Linked DNA regions of Saccharomyces cerevisiae S288C. The protein of the gene in region 3 binds, or shares a complex with, the protein of the main gene of each other region. Each region holds a gene or a part of one and is shown on either strand. Other genes may lie near its edges. A codon is read from its position in the direction of its gene.

Region 1 (3,633 bases), on a different chromosome or scaffold from region 3:
ATCATCTATCACTTGGCCATCCACCTTCATTTGACTTTCTGCCCACTCTTCTTCATTAGTTCCATTTTCAGAGCCATTTTTGTTCGATAATGAATCGATTTTAATTATTGGTTCATCATAGTACCGAGGTCGGAATGCACTCAACGTGACGAAATGATCGATGCACACAATGTCCATCTTTTTGTAATTATCTGTTAGAAAAGAAGTCATTGTTTCATCACTTTCATCTGTAGTGTTATCATCTTCATTCACCCCATCATTTCCATTTCTATGAGAAATCTTTTCAACAATTTCAAAATCTACCATAAATGTATTCCTTCTTAATCCTCGGATAAAAGAATCTAATTCCCACTTCGTTGAACAGGGTACATCCATTCTTTCTCTAAAAGCGTCTCTAGTTAAGGCTTGAAAAGATTCTCTCCTTCTTCGACTCAGCGGTCTCGGTTCGCTGCTAGCAGTACTGAATGAAGAATTTCGGCGACTACTTCCCAGCATATCTTGAGTGTGGAATAACTCATATATGTCATCTTTAGCGTGACCTTGACGCTGTTTCCAGACGATTCCTGAATCCAGCATTCCTGTTCCAGAATATTTTACAATATCATCCCAAATGGTTGAATTTATAATATCCGTATCGAATGTAAACTTGTTACTAATCCAGCTGAACAAAGAACCAAATCCATTTTGTTGCGCTACGTTGTCCCACGAAAGTATCTCACCGCATGTATCTCCCTGTATACTGTTCTTTAGGCTGATAAAGGTGCTTAAAAATGTAACATAAGTCAATGGTAAAATTATTTTCCTTATAAATAGTGGTGATCGTGGCGATACTGTCATGAAACAAAACCGGTCTAATGGATTTATATGGAATGTGGAAATACCTCGTTCTATATGTAAATACATCGAAGGCCTATATATGGGCAGGCCTTGATACATATTGCAAAACGAAGATACCACGGGTGACGATCTTAAATGGGATGGTTCTATAGGCAAAAGGAAGTAGCAGATATGCTTAGAGCATGACCTTCCAGTGTACCGCGTACTACCTTCAAATAATTTTTCTTCTTCTGAAGAATGTGTTGTATTATTATCGTGATGTACTTTGAAAAAGCAATCTGGAAACATGGGGTTGTACATGTTCTTATACTGAATGTAATCAGTGGGAAGGTTCATTACAAAGACATATATTCGACCGGAGCACATACAACAATATAATAAACCTTGACTATATTCAAGACCAGCGATCATATAGTCACTAAAAAAATTGGATTCGAAATCTTCCGGAGTACATCTAAGGATATAAGAGGGCGCTAATCGCAGGCCATTTTTTATCTTGTATTGATAGTTGCTTATGATTTCAATGAATCCGTTGGATTTAGCCAGCACCATGTAATCACATGAGTCCAAAATATGCGTTGCGTCTGGAGATATTGACGTGTCTCTACCATTAGGCCTTAAATAACAAAACGCTTGTATATTTGCATTCACATCTACTTTTGTACAACCTCTTTCTGATGGGACCAGTGCTAATCGATCGTTTTTAAATTCAAATAACCTATAACCAGACGGTTTACCCTTAGTATTGCAGGGAGTAGAAACAGCAAATTGAATCCTGCCAGTAGCCATCGATAACAAAATGTTCAGATTATGTGGAAAGACGCTTTCTGCGTGTATTTAACAACTCAAAGTAAAACCTATCTTAACCTGGTTTTGTTCTATTAGATGCCATTCAACTATGGGGAAGGTATATTTGGATGTTTGTTAGCAATTTTCAGGAAGGCAAGTACTTAATACCGATCAGCTTACTATTGTTTTTGACCTTAGAGCTCTTTTCAACAAAGCTTCGCATTGTGAAAAGCAGACCCAAAACGGCAACTGAGAAAATACGGCACTGTGGAAATAAGTCATGCATCAATCATCAGCTGTAAAAAACCTTTAGAAAAGACATTATACAGATTCTTAGATAGGTATTGATGTTTGGTATTACTATTTTTTGGAGAAATGAGTAAGAATGTTGGTAAGCTAGTGAAAATATGGAATGAATCAGAAGTTTTAGTTGATAGAAAATCGAAATTTCAAGCAAGATGTTGCCCATTACAAAATCAAAAGGATATACCCTCCATACTCCAAGAACTAACGCAAAACAACAAAAGCGTCTCCAAGGCATCCCACATGCACATGTATGCCTGGAGAACGGCCGAGGTATCAAATAATTTGCACTTACAACAAGAGCAGAAAAAGAAGGGCAATAAAGCAAATAAGAGTAATAATAGTCATGTTAACAAGTCAAGGAACATAACGGTGCAGCCAAAGAACATTGAGCAAGGATGTGCTGACTGTGGCGAAGCTGGTGCTGGACAGCGTTTATTGACCTTACTTGAAAGAGCAAACATATTCAACGTCTTGGTAATAGTGACCAGATGGTATGGTGGCACGCCTTTGGGCTCATCAAGATTCAGACACATTTCAACATGTGCAGTGGAAACCTTAAAGAAGGGTGGATTTCTTCCTTAAATATCACCCTTACCATATAATATACACAATTGTAGAATATAATATTGATAAATATATACATATGTAGATAACTATAAAACTTGGCATTTTATTTTCAAATGTATTTGTAAGGGTTTAAAATTCCATTAGGATCATAATGAACCTTCAAATCCTTCATCATCTTGACCTCTTCCGGGCTCTTAGAATAGCCAATGTAATTTTTCTTTTGGAAACCTAGCCCATGTTCGGCACTAACGGAACCATGTTTTGAGGAAACAAACTCGTAGACAAATGGTTCCAAAGTCTTTTCAATGTTCTTGTTGTACTCTCTAACTGCAACATTTAAGTGTAGATTACCATCACCCACGTGACCGTATCCAATGGCGCCCACCACTGGTTTGGGCGAATCACCCACTAATTCAGCTTCAGAAAGTCTTGCATTAGTGGCTTCAACCAAAGAATATAGGTCCTTTAGTGGTAAAGAAACATCGTATTTGTAAACACCACCATTAGCTTGACTTGCCTCTGGAATCATTTCTCTCCACTTCCACAAGTTTTGGAGTTCGGTTTCATCTTGTGCCACTACACCATCCGTTACTATGCCCTCTTCCATGACGTTTTCTAAAAATGTTTCAAGTTTGGAATCATCGTGATCTTTGTTTGACCCTGACGTTTCGATAAGAATATAAAATGGATGCTCATCCTCCAAAGGGAAGGCAGCATCCTTCAATTGGCTCTTGGCCAATACTTGAGATTTAGCATCCATAAATTCAAAAGCGGATAAAATCTCAGATAATTCTTGCCTGGCTCTGACGAAGACTTTTTGAACGTCTTCAAAACTTTCAACAGACAAGTAAGATACATTAAACGCTTTTGGCTTAGGAACAGTCAAGATTGAAACACCAGTGATGATACCGATAGTACCTTCTGAGCCAATGAACAGCTGTTTCAGATCATAACCGGTGTTGTCTTTTCTCATGGAATGCATGCTATTAACAATTTGACCATTGGGCATTACCACCTCTAAGCCTAAAACGCTTCCATGTAGTGAGCCATAACGCAATAACCTTAGTCCTCCAGCGTTGGTTGCAACCACGCCACCAACATGGCAGGAACCTTTAGCTCCCAGATCCAACGGAA
Region 2 (3,633 bases), on a different chromosome or scaffold from region 3:
GAGTTTAAGAACAGCGAATACGCGACCACATCGATTATTTTTTCACTTTTTAAAATCTGAGGAAAATTAGGATAATATTCATTAGGAGCACCTTCATAGCCCTTAACGGACTCTCTTCTAGGAAACCCAATTCCAAGAACACCACTAACGGGTGTCGTAGCATACTTGGCAACTCCGAACTGGATATTGGGGATGTCAATTCCATTAATTGATACAGTTTCCGTCCCCCAACTACCGTCAGCAAATGTTCCGTCAGCATATGTGATGTAAAACCTACCATTTTCCAGATATTGGTAGGTGGAAGATCTATGCTCATTATAAGTACTCATAGACCTGCAATCAATTGAAGGCTTAACTTCTTCGCCATTATAAGTTGCGTTTGAATAGGATGACGTATTTGAATTTGGTAAGCAGAAGGGATTGCTAGAATCCATAACCCAAAAATCGGCAGATCCGGTATCAAACAACACTGTCAGACTTTGGGACGGTGTACCTATATCTAAGGTTGTTGCGTAATACATCTCCTCTTCGTGTTGTAAAAGGAATTCTAAGTGACCAGTGCCATCGTTTGTTAAAGCAGTAATGGTGTTAATAATCGCGAAACTCGCCAAAATAAGTTTCAAACAAAGATGATTAATTGCAGACATTATATGACCCTTCTAGACACTCTTTTTATTTTGGTATGATTTTAGGCGATACGAACCACTAGAATTAAATCACGCGAAGATCATTAAAGAATTCATCATGACAAGGCTCGACGTGCTTTCTCTTCACTTTTATACTGTTATCAAAAAACACACACATTCAATAACTATAATGTGGTGTGTTTCAGAATAGCTGGCTGTGTATACATGTTATTGTCGCTATTATGTGACACTCGCCATGTAATTTCCTTTTACGGTAATTACATGCCATGTTTCAGCATGATGTCGGAGGTAGAAAAACAGGGACAACGCATCTCTAATATAATAAATGCAACAAATGTGTACCGTACCGGAATGAGTGCAGCCTATGAATTCGGCAAGAGCCGTTATCTATAAACTAAAAATACAAACTTATTTAAGAGAGTCCAAACTTTTTAACATAGCCTGAATTTCCTTTATGACGCCTTTCCTTTTTTCCTTCAACGGCCTTCTTAAGGACTCATCCACGTTAATCAAATCGATACTGTCTAACTCAATCAGCAACTTCAAAAGCATTTCGTTGCAATAGTTACGCTCGTAGATGTCCTTTTCATCTTCCACATCAAATCTGTTTATTAGATCCTTGCTACGACCTTCCAACTCGTTGCCGTATCTCAACGACACATTGTCAATTTGTTCTTCTAGAGTCAGAGGAACCGGCGCTTTTTCAAACTGATTCTTACCTTTCTTGTTCTTTTTAGAAGCCCTCTTTTTACTGCTTTTTCCCTTGCTGCCATTGGGTCTTCTGATTGTAACCAAAAATACAACAGCAATCACGGCCAAGAGGACGTACGTCGAGGTACTTGTTTTGCTCAGCTTGCTCTTCCAATGTTCCATTGCGTTGTGCGACATTACGGAAACGTACAATTGCCCTTCTGGTGCTATTTTTTCACCAACAAACAGGATTGAAACCAGCACTACAGAGCTGATTCCATCTTTTTTTCTACTGGTTATGTCAGTTCGCGATATTTTTTTTCAATATCGACCAAATGATAGTAAAGGCAAATTGAATTAGATGAGCACAAGTCTTCCATTTAAAAACCCCTCTAGCTATGGCTCTCCTTCAAGTCCATATGCGCTCTTGAAAAAGCATGCTTGCCGATTGAATTGCAGGTAGCATAAATGGTTTTGCTTGTGTATGAAGCTTTTGACCTTATATTCGTCATCCGTTATAAGTGATTAGACTGAAGGGGCGCGAACTAAACTAATTAGATTATAATACGTTTTATAGGGATATCACTACAAACTGCGGCCTAAGAGGATGATCTTCATGGCGGAAACTTGCAGTTTTCCTGTATCATTGCCCTCGTGTTAGATTGGTGATATATTACAGTTACACTATGACGGTGGCTTATTCCCTAGAGAATCTCAAAAAGATTAGTAATTCCCTGGTGGGAGACCAGTTGGCTAAGGTAGATTACTTTTTGGCTCCAAAGTGCCAGATTTTTCAATGTTTGTTGTCCATTGAGCAAAGTGACGGTGTAGAGTTAAAAAATGCGAAATTAGATCTGCTATATACCCTTTTACATCTAGAACCGCAACAAAGGGATATAGTAGGCACATATTACTTTGATATTGTGTCCGCAATCTATAAGTCCATGAGTTTGGCAAGCAGTTTTACTAAAAATAATTCTTCGACAAACTATAAGTACATAAAGCTTCTAAATTTGTGTGCAGGAGTTTATCCAAATTGCGGATTCCCAGACTTGCAATACCTCCAGAACGGGTTCATCCAGTTAGTCAACCATAAATTTTTGAGGAGCAAATGTAAAATTGATGAGGTGGTCACGATTATTGAATTATTGAAGTTGTTTTTACTTGTGGACGAGAAAAATTGCAGCGACTTCAACAAGAGCAAGTTTATGGAGGAAGAGAGAGAAGTGACAGAAACTTCACACTACCAAGATTTTAAAATGGCAGAATCCCTTGAACACATAATAGTTAAAATATCATCGAAGTACTTGGACCAAATAAGCCTCAAGTATATAGTGAGGCTAAAAGTATCCAGGCCAGCGTCACCATCCAGCGTCAAGAACGATCCGTTTGACAATAAAGGGGTCGACTGCACCCGTGCCATACCTAAAAAAATCAATATCTCAAACATGTATGATTCTAGTTTACTCTCATTGGCACTCCTTCTATATCTAAGATATCATTATATGATACCGGGTGATAGGAAACTGCGGAATGATGCGACGTTCAAGATGTTCGTTCTGGGTCTTTTGAAGAGTAATGACGTTAACATTAGGTGCGTGGCCCTGAAGTTTTTGTTACAACCGTACTTTACAGAGGATAAGAAATGGGAAGATACGCGTACACTCGAGAAAATACTACCCTATTTAGTTAAGTCATTTAATTATGACCCGTTGCCTTGGTGGTTTGATCCATTCGATATGCTGGATTCATTGATTGTGTTGTATAATGAAATTACTCCAATGAATAATCCTGTGCTCACCACGCTAGCTCATACAAACGTTATATTTTGCATTCTATCCCGTTTTGCGCAGTGTCTTTCTCTACCACAACACAATGAAGCTACTTTGAAAACAACTACAAAATTCATTAAAATATGTGCGTCATTTGCAGCATCGGACGAAAAATACCGTCTTTTACTGTTGAATGACACATTGTTGTTGAATCATTTAGAATACGGGTTGGAATCCCACATTACTTTGATACAGGATTTTATATCTTTGAAAGATGAGATAAAGGAAACAACTACGGAAAGTCATTCTATGTGTTTACCCCCAATATATGATCACGATTTCGTGGCAGCTTGGTTACTATTGTTGAAATCATTCTCGAGAAGTGTTTCAGCGCTTAGGACGACGTTGAAGAGAAATAAAATTGCACAGCTGCTTTTACAGATACTAAGTAAAACATATACGTTGACCAAGGAATGCTATTTTGCTGGACAAGATTTTATGAAACCGGAAATTATGATTATGGG
Region 3 (3,622 bases):
AAATTCCTCCTTGGAAATTATGCTTATTTGGTGCATTTTCCGGGACAATGTTGTGGTTGACAGTATACCCATTGGACGTTGTGAAATCCATTATACAAAACGATGATTTACGAAAACCTAAATACAAGAATTCCATTTCTTACGTAGCAAAGACCATTTATGCAAAAGAAGGTATCAGAGCCTTTTTCAAAGGGTTTGGGCCAACAATGGTTAGGTCCGCGCCCGTTAATGGTGCGACATTCCTGACGTTTGAATTAGTCATGAGATTTCTGGGGGAAGAGTAGGAGAGTATATATGAAAACATCGTTTTATAGATATAGACATAGACATGCTGTTATCATACCAAATAGAAAAGTGTACAGTCTTTTAGTGATTATCATCTATGTGGTGTCAAACTAAGAAATTATATCGATCGTTACAGAATATATGATGAGGGAATATGCATAAAAAAAAATCTAAAGTTAGTGAAGAGAAAAGGGTATGCAGGTAAAAACGAATATATCACACATCAAGCAAACTCAAAAGAACAATCACTGGACTCGACTTTATTTTTCAAAGATGGTACTAATTCCAGCTGTTGGAACTTTTCAGCATCTTGATGATAGTAAAACCCTTGAATGTTCCCGGTAACTTGATCATGGACAATGTAATAAAACCCATCATAAGATGCGCCGTCTACACCTTCCATTAATAGGGCATCTGGTACCAAAAATTTTTCCTTCCATTTCATAAATATAAACCGTTCGTTCAAGTAGTTGTCAAATTGTTTCTCTTGGCTAAAAATTCTTGATATGTTACCAGCGTCTGCGCTTGGTGTAGTAGGAAGCTGCTGTGGAGGCAACTTCTTGGCTGCATTTGTAGTGCCATTGTCGTCAGTTGAGTTGAGACCGTTTTTTTGGCTCATCAGGAAAAGCTGTCTAAAGGAGGGGAAATTTATCCAGTGTTCTAAGTCTGTTTGGTCTGTGGCTTTGAATTCGTTTAAAACAGGTTCATCTTTCCAGCTAGAGGACAAGAACCCTAATTCCTTGTGGTTTACCGCGTAGGCTTCAAAATATGTACTGATTTCCGGGTGTTGGTTCGTGAGTCCTCTTATCGACAAAAATCCAGATAAATGAGGGGACAGCGACGTGCAATCTTTCTTTGGCAAATCTACAGTCTTTAAGTTAACTGTTACCTGATAGCGTTTGTATCCTGATATCTGGTACCCTGTAAACTGCATTCTTGGTCTTAAGTAGTTTGTGCAAACCGTATGGTTATAGGAAGAGGTCACAATGACTGGATTTTCCGAACTATAGGGAGATTGGTCCTCAACAATATATTTCTTCCTTGTCGACCCATTAGGTGTATGGGCGAGTTGCTGCAGGGAAGACAACGAATCCCTAGAAGCGCACTTGTAAAGATCTTGCTCTTGTAAGTAGCGATGACGGTCATGAAGATGAAAGGGTGCGGTTGAAGTCAAGTTGAACGTGATCGGATACTGATTTCTAGAAACAGGGGGGGCTGGTGTTGGTTCTGGCGAAGCCGCTTGCTCCGACTGCTTTGATGTCACAGCTTTGGGTTTCTCCGCTACACTGTCTACCTTAGGATTATTGATCATGACTCAAGCTTGCGATATGTGTTGGTGTCATGCACAAGACGCCACAAATGATAGAACAGAAAAGAAAGTGAACTAATCTTCCAAGACGAAGAAAACCAAAATCCGGGATGAGTTGAAAGTCAAAAAGACTGTATATATAAATTTCAACTTTTGTAGAAGATGCAGAAAAAGAAAATGATATGGTATGCAGAAAAAGAAATAAACCGCTATTATCCTCGCGGTTTGTCATTATAACAGGCAATTACACTAGAGAAAGCCGCACACCTCCCTCCGTTTCTTTTGCCCTGCGAGTTTTTCCGGAAAAGAAAAAAAAAACGAAAATTAAAACCCGCCTGCCCCGCGGGGTGGGGGAGGGGTCACCGGAACAAATCGGATAATCCCTCGCCTGCCTTAGATATCGTTCTGAACGGCTGAAATTATGAAAGAAGAAGAACATCACTTTACACGGATCGCACGCCCATAATTCTTTTTTTTTTTTTTTTCATATCTTCGACGTTTGCCACTGCCTTCTCTTTTTCTTTCTTTTTTGGCGGCCGGTGGCCAAACGCGCCAAAACCGAAACGCTTATAAAATGTAGTTGCCTTGCTCTTTCATTCGATATACATATAAGAACGCTCACTGTTATCTTACATTAGAAGCTAGAAACTATAACAGTATAACACAGCACAAGAGAACCGAGCAGCCCGCCATGAATCCTCAAGTCAGTAACATCATCATCATGTTGGTCATGATGCAACTCTCCCGTCGCATTGACATGGAGGACCCAACCATCATCATGTACATTAGAATTTTATACTGTTCTTCCATCGGTATCTCTTGGATCATCTACCAAATGGCCAGAAAGAGAATTGTTGCTAAAAACGACATGACTACCATGAAGTACGTCGAACCTGGTAATGCTATGTCCGGCGAAGGTGAGAAGCTGCAAGTTACTACCGTCAGAGACTACGATTTGAAGGAAATAGACAGTGCTATCAAGTCTATCTACACTGGTATGGCTATGATGGGTTTCATGCATTTGTACTTGAAATACACCAACCCATTGTTCATGCAATCCATTTCTCCAGTGAAAAGCGCTTTGGAACACAACGAAGTGAAAATTCACCTCTTCGGTAAGCCTGCAACCGGCGATTTGAAGAGACCATTCAAGGCTCCATCTTTGTTTGGTGGTATGGGTCAAACTGGTCCAAAGACCGACAAGAAATCTATCGAAGAAGCTGAAAGAGCCGGTAACGCTGGTGTTAAGGCTGAATGATTCGATCAAAAGCGAAGTATTTTTTTTTCCTAGTTTTTATGTAAAAATATATTCATTTTTTTCTCTACGCAGTTGCTGCAGTGTTATAAGAAAAATAGAATGAAATAAGATAAAGCTAGACGAATTGTGTCTATTTTCCTACATCGCCATAGAATTGCTTTTTTTTTCTTGATTAGATGAAATGAAAACAAGGAACTCTATTTGTTTTCATTTTGTTGGGCTTATCATGTAAAGAAAAATGAGTCGTGTCCTCTTTTTCCTCGTGCTTGTATGACTGCCGCACTTTCCGCTAAGTGCGCTCGTCTATATGATTTTATGCAAATATATACTGAAAGTTCAACAAAATTAAACTATGTGAACATTAGTTCATAGCAGCCATTGGCCCGTTGTGTCGGGATCTCTACACTAAATTGTAATGTCTCTGGGATTTTGTGGGGTGTCATTGCAGATATGACGAACCGGATATTACTGATAATGACGATGATTCATGAAGGTCTTCAGGTTCATATGTACAAAAAAGGTAGAGCTGTGGTTTTTTATTGTATCTTGGTGAATATTCTTTATAGTGTTACTCGCTGGTAAACTGAATCGATTGGAGTACAACTGCTAGAACTCTGTTCCTGAGACTTCGTGTTGAAGTGACAATGGATTCTCTCATTATTTTCGTGTGCCCTGCCAATATGACGGAAGTCAACGGTAATCTTTCCACCGCCATCCCCGTTTCATTATAAATGTAGGGTACAATTGCATCGTTATACGGGTGCATAGTA

The links.
Region 1: the proteins of VID24 (region 3) and GID12 are in contact, whole or in part, in a cryo-EM structure (PDB 7WUG), measured with the Saccharomyces cerevisiae proteins. Residues at the interface, in NP_009663.1 of Saccharomyces cerevisiae: Thr130 (codon at 1,210), Gly131 (codon at 1,207), Tyr132 (codon at 1,204), Tyr137 (codon at 1,189), Lys138 (codon at 1,186), Arg139 (codon at 1,183), Gln141 (codon at 1,177), Arg170 (codon at 1,090), Gly171 (codon at 1,087), Leu172 (codon at 1,084), Thr173 (codon at 1,081), Asn174 (codon at 1,078), Gln175 (codon at 1,075), His176 (codon at 1,072), Ile221 (codon at 937), Asn222 (codon at 934), Phe223 (codon at 931), Pro224 (codon at 928), Arg227 (codon at 919), Gln228 (codon at 916), Arg286 (codon at 742), Thr324 (codon at 628), Asn326 (codon at 622), Gln328 (codon at 616), Phe330 (codon at 610), Lys338 (codon at 586), Phe339 (codon at 583), Gln341 (codon at 577), Glu343 (codon at 571), Leu344 (codon at 568); in NP_010105.1 of Saccharomyces cerevisiae: Cys14 (codon at 1,587), Asn15 (codon at 1,584), Thr16 (codon at 1,581), Lys17 (codon at 1,578), Asn48 (codon at 1,485), Asn50 (codon at 1,479), Gln52 (codon at 1,473), Asp125 (codon at 1,254), Met127 (codon at 1,248), Cys143 (codon at 1,200), Arg248 (codon at 885), Gly249 (codon at 882), Ile250 (codon at 879), Ser251 (codon at 876), Ser267 (codon at 828), Pro268 (codon at 825), Arg269 (codon at 822), Arg436 (codon at 321), Arg437 (codon at 318), Asn438 (codon at 315), Phe440 (codon at 309), His491 (codon at 156), Phe492 (codon at 153), Asn515 (codon at 84), Gly552, Asn553, Cys555, Ser556, Lys558, Thr573.
Region 2: the proteins of VID24 (region 3) and VID28 are in contact, whole or in part, in a cryo-EM structure (PDB 7WUG), measured with the Saccharomyces cerevisiae proteins. Residues at the interface, in NP_009663.1 of Saccharomyces cerevisiae: Lys92 (codon at 1,324), Lys93 (codon at 1,321), Tyr94 (codon at 1,318), Ile95 (codon at 1,315), Asp98 (codon at 1,306), Ser100 (codon at 1,300), Pro101 (codon at 1,297), Tyr102 (codon at 1,294), Ser103 (codon at 1,291), Glu105 (codon at 1,285), Asn106 (codon at 1,282), Pro107 (codon at 1,279), Val108 (codon at 1,276), Ile109 (codon at 1,273), Val110 (codon at 1,270), Thr111 (codon at 1,267), Ser113 (codon at 1,261), Tyr114 (codon at 1,258), Asn115 (codon at 1,255), Thr117 (codon at 1,249), Thr120 (codon at 1,240), Asn121 (codon at 1,237), Pro125 (codon at 1,225), Arg126 (codon at 1,222), Lys147 (codon at 1,159), Thr148 (codon at 1,156), Asp150 (codon at 1,150), Pro152 (codon at 1,144), Asp155 (codon at 1,135), Cys156 (codon at 1,132); in NP_012247.3 of Saccharomyces cerevisiae: Thr316 (codon at 2,969), Asp318 (codon at 2,975), Trp321 (codon at 2,984), Glu362 (codon at 3,107), Ile363 (codon at 3,110), Thr364 (codon at 3,113), Pro365 (codon at 3,116), Met366 (codon at 3,119), Asn367 (codon at 3,122), Asn368 (codon at 3,125), Thr372 (codon at 3,137), Ser417 (codon at 3,272), Asp418 (codon at 3,275), Glu419 (codon at 3,278), Lys420 (codon at 3,281), Leu423 (codon at 3,290), Lys485 (codon at 3,476), Ser488 (codon at 3,485), Arg489 (codon at 3,488), Val491 (codon at 3,494), Ser492 (codon at 3,497), Leu494 (codon at 3,503), Arg495 (codon at 3,506), Thr496 (codon at 3,509), Gly541, Cys544, Asn545, Val548, Phe550, Trp606.

Annotation. Positions count from the first base shown.
Region 1 is NC_001136.10:140,090-143,722, reverse strand, and holds the start of GID12 (Gid12p), read right to left. Parts: upstream 1,627-3,633; coding exon 1-1,626. Other genes in the region: YDL177C (uncharacterized protein), read left to right, coding at 2,002-2,514; DLD2 (D-lactate dehydrogenase), read right to left, coding at 2,609-3,633. UniProt on the Saccharomyces cerevisiae protein: Regulator of the GID E3 ligase complex. Modulates both assembly of the substrate receptor GID4 into the GID E3 ligase complex and its activity toward its substrates.
Region 2 is NC_001141.2:319,356-322,988, reverse strand, and holds the start of VID28 (glucose-induced degradation complex subunit VID28), read left to right. Parts: upstream 1-2,023; coding exon 2,024-3,633. Other genes in the region: aspartyl protease BAR1, read right to left, coding at 1-647; SNL1 (Snl1p), read right to left, coding at 1,056-1,535. UniProt on the Saccharomyces cerevisiae protein: Component of the GID E3 ligase complex recruiting N termini and catalyzing ubiquitination of proteins targeted for degradation.
Region 3 is NC_001134.8:450,373-453,994, forward strand, and holds VID24 (glucose-induced degradation complex subunit VID24), read right to left. Parts: upstream 1,598-3,622; coding exon 509-1,597; downstream 1-508. Other genes in the region: YMC2 (organic acid transporter), read left to right, coding at 1-284; SND3 (Snd3p), read left to right, coding at 2,286-2,852; IML3 (Iml3p), read right to left, coding at 3,421-3,622. UniProt on the Saccharomyces cerevisiae protein: Substrate-recognition component of the GID E3 ligase complex recruiting N termini and catalyzing ubiquitination of proteins targeted for degradation.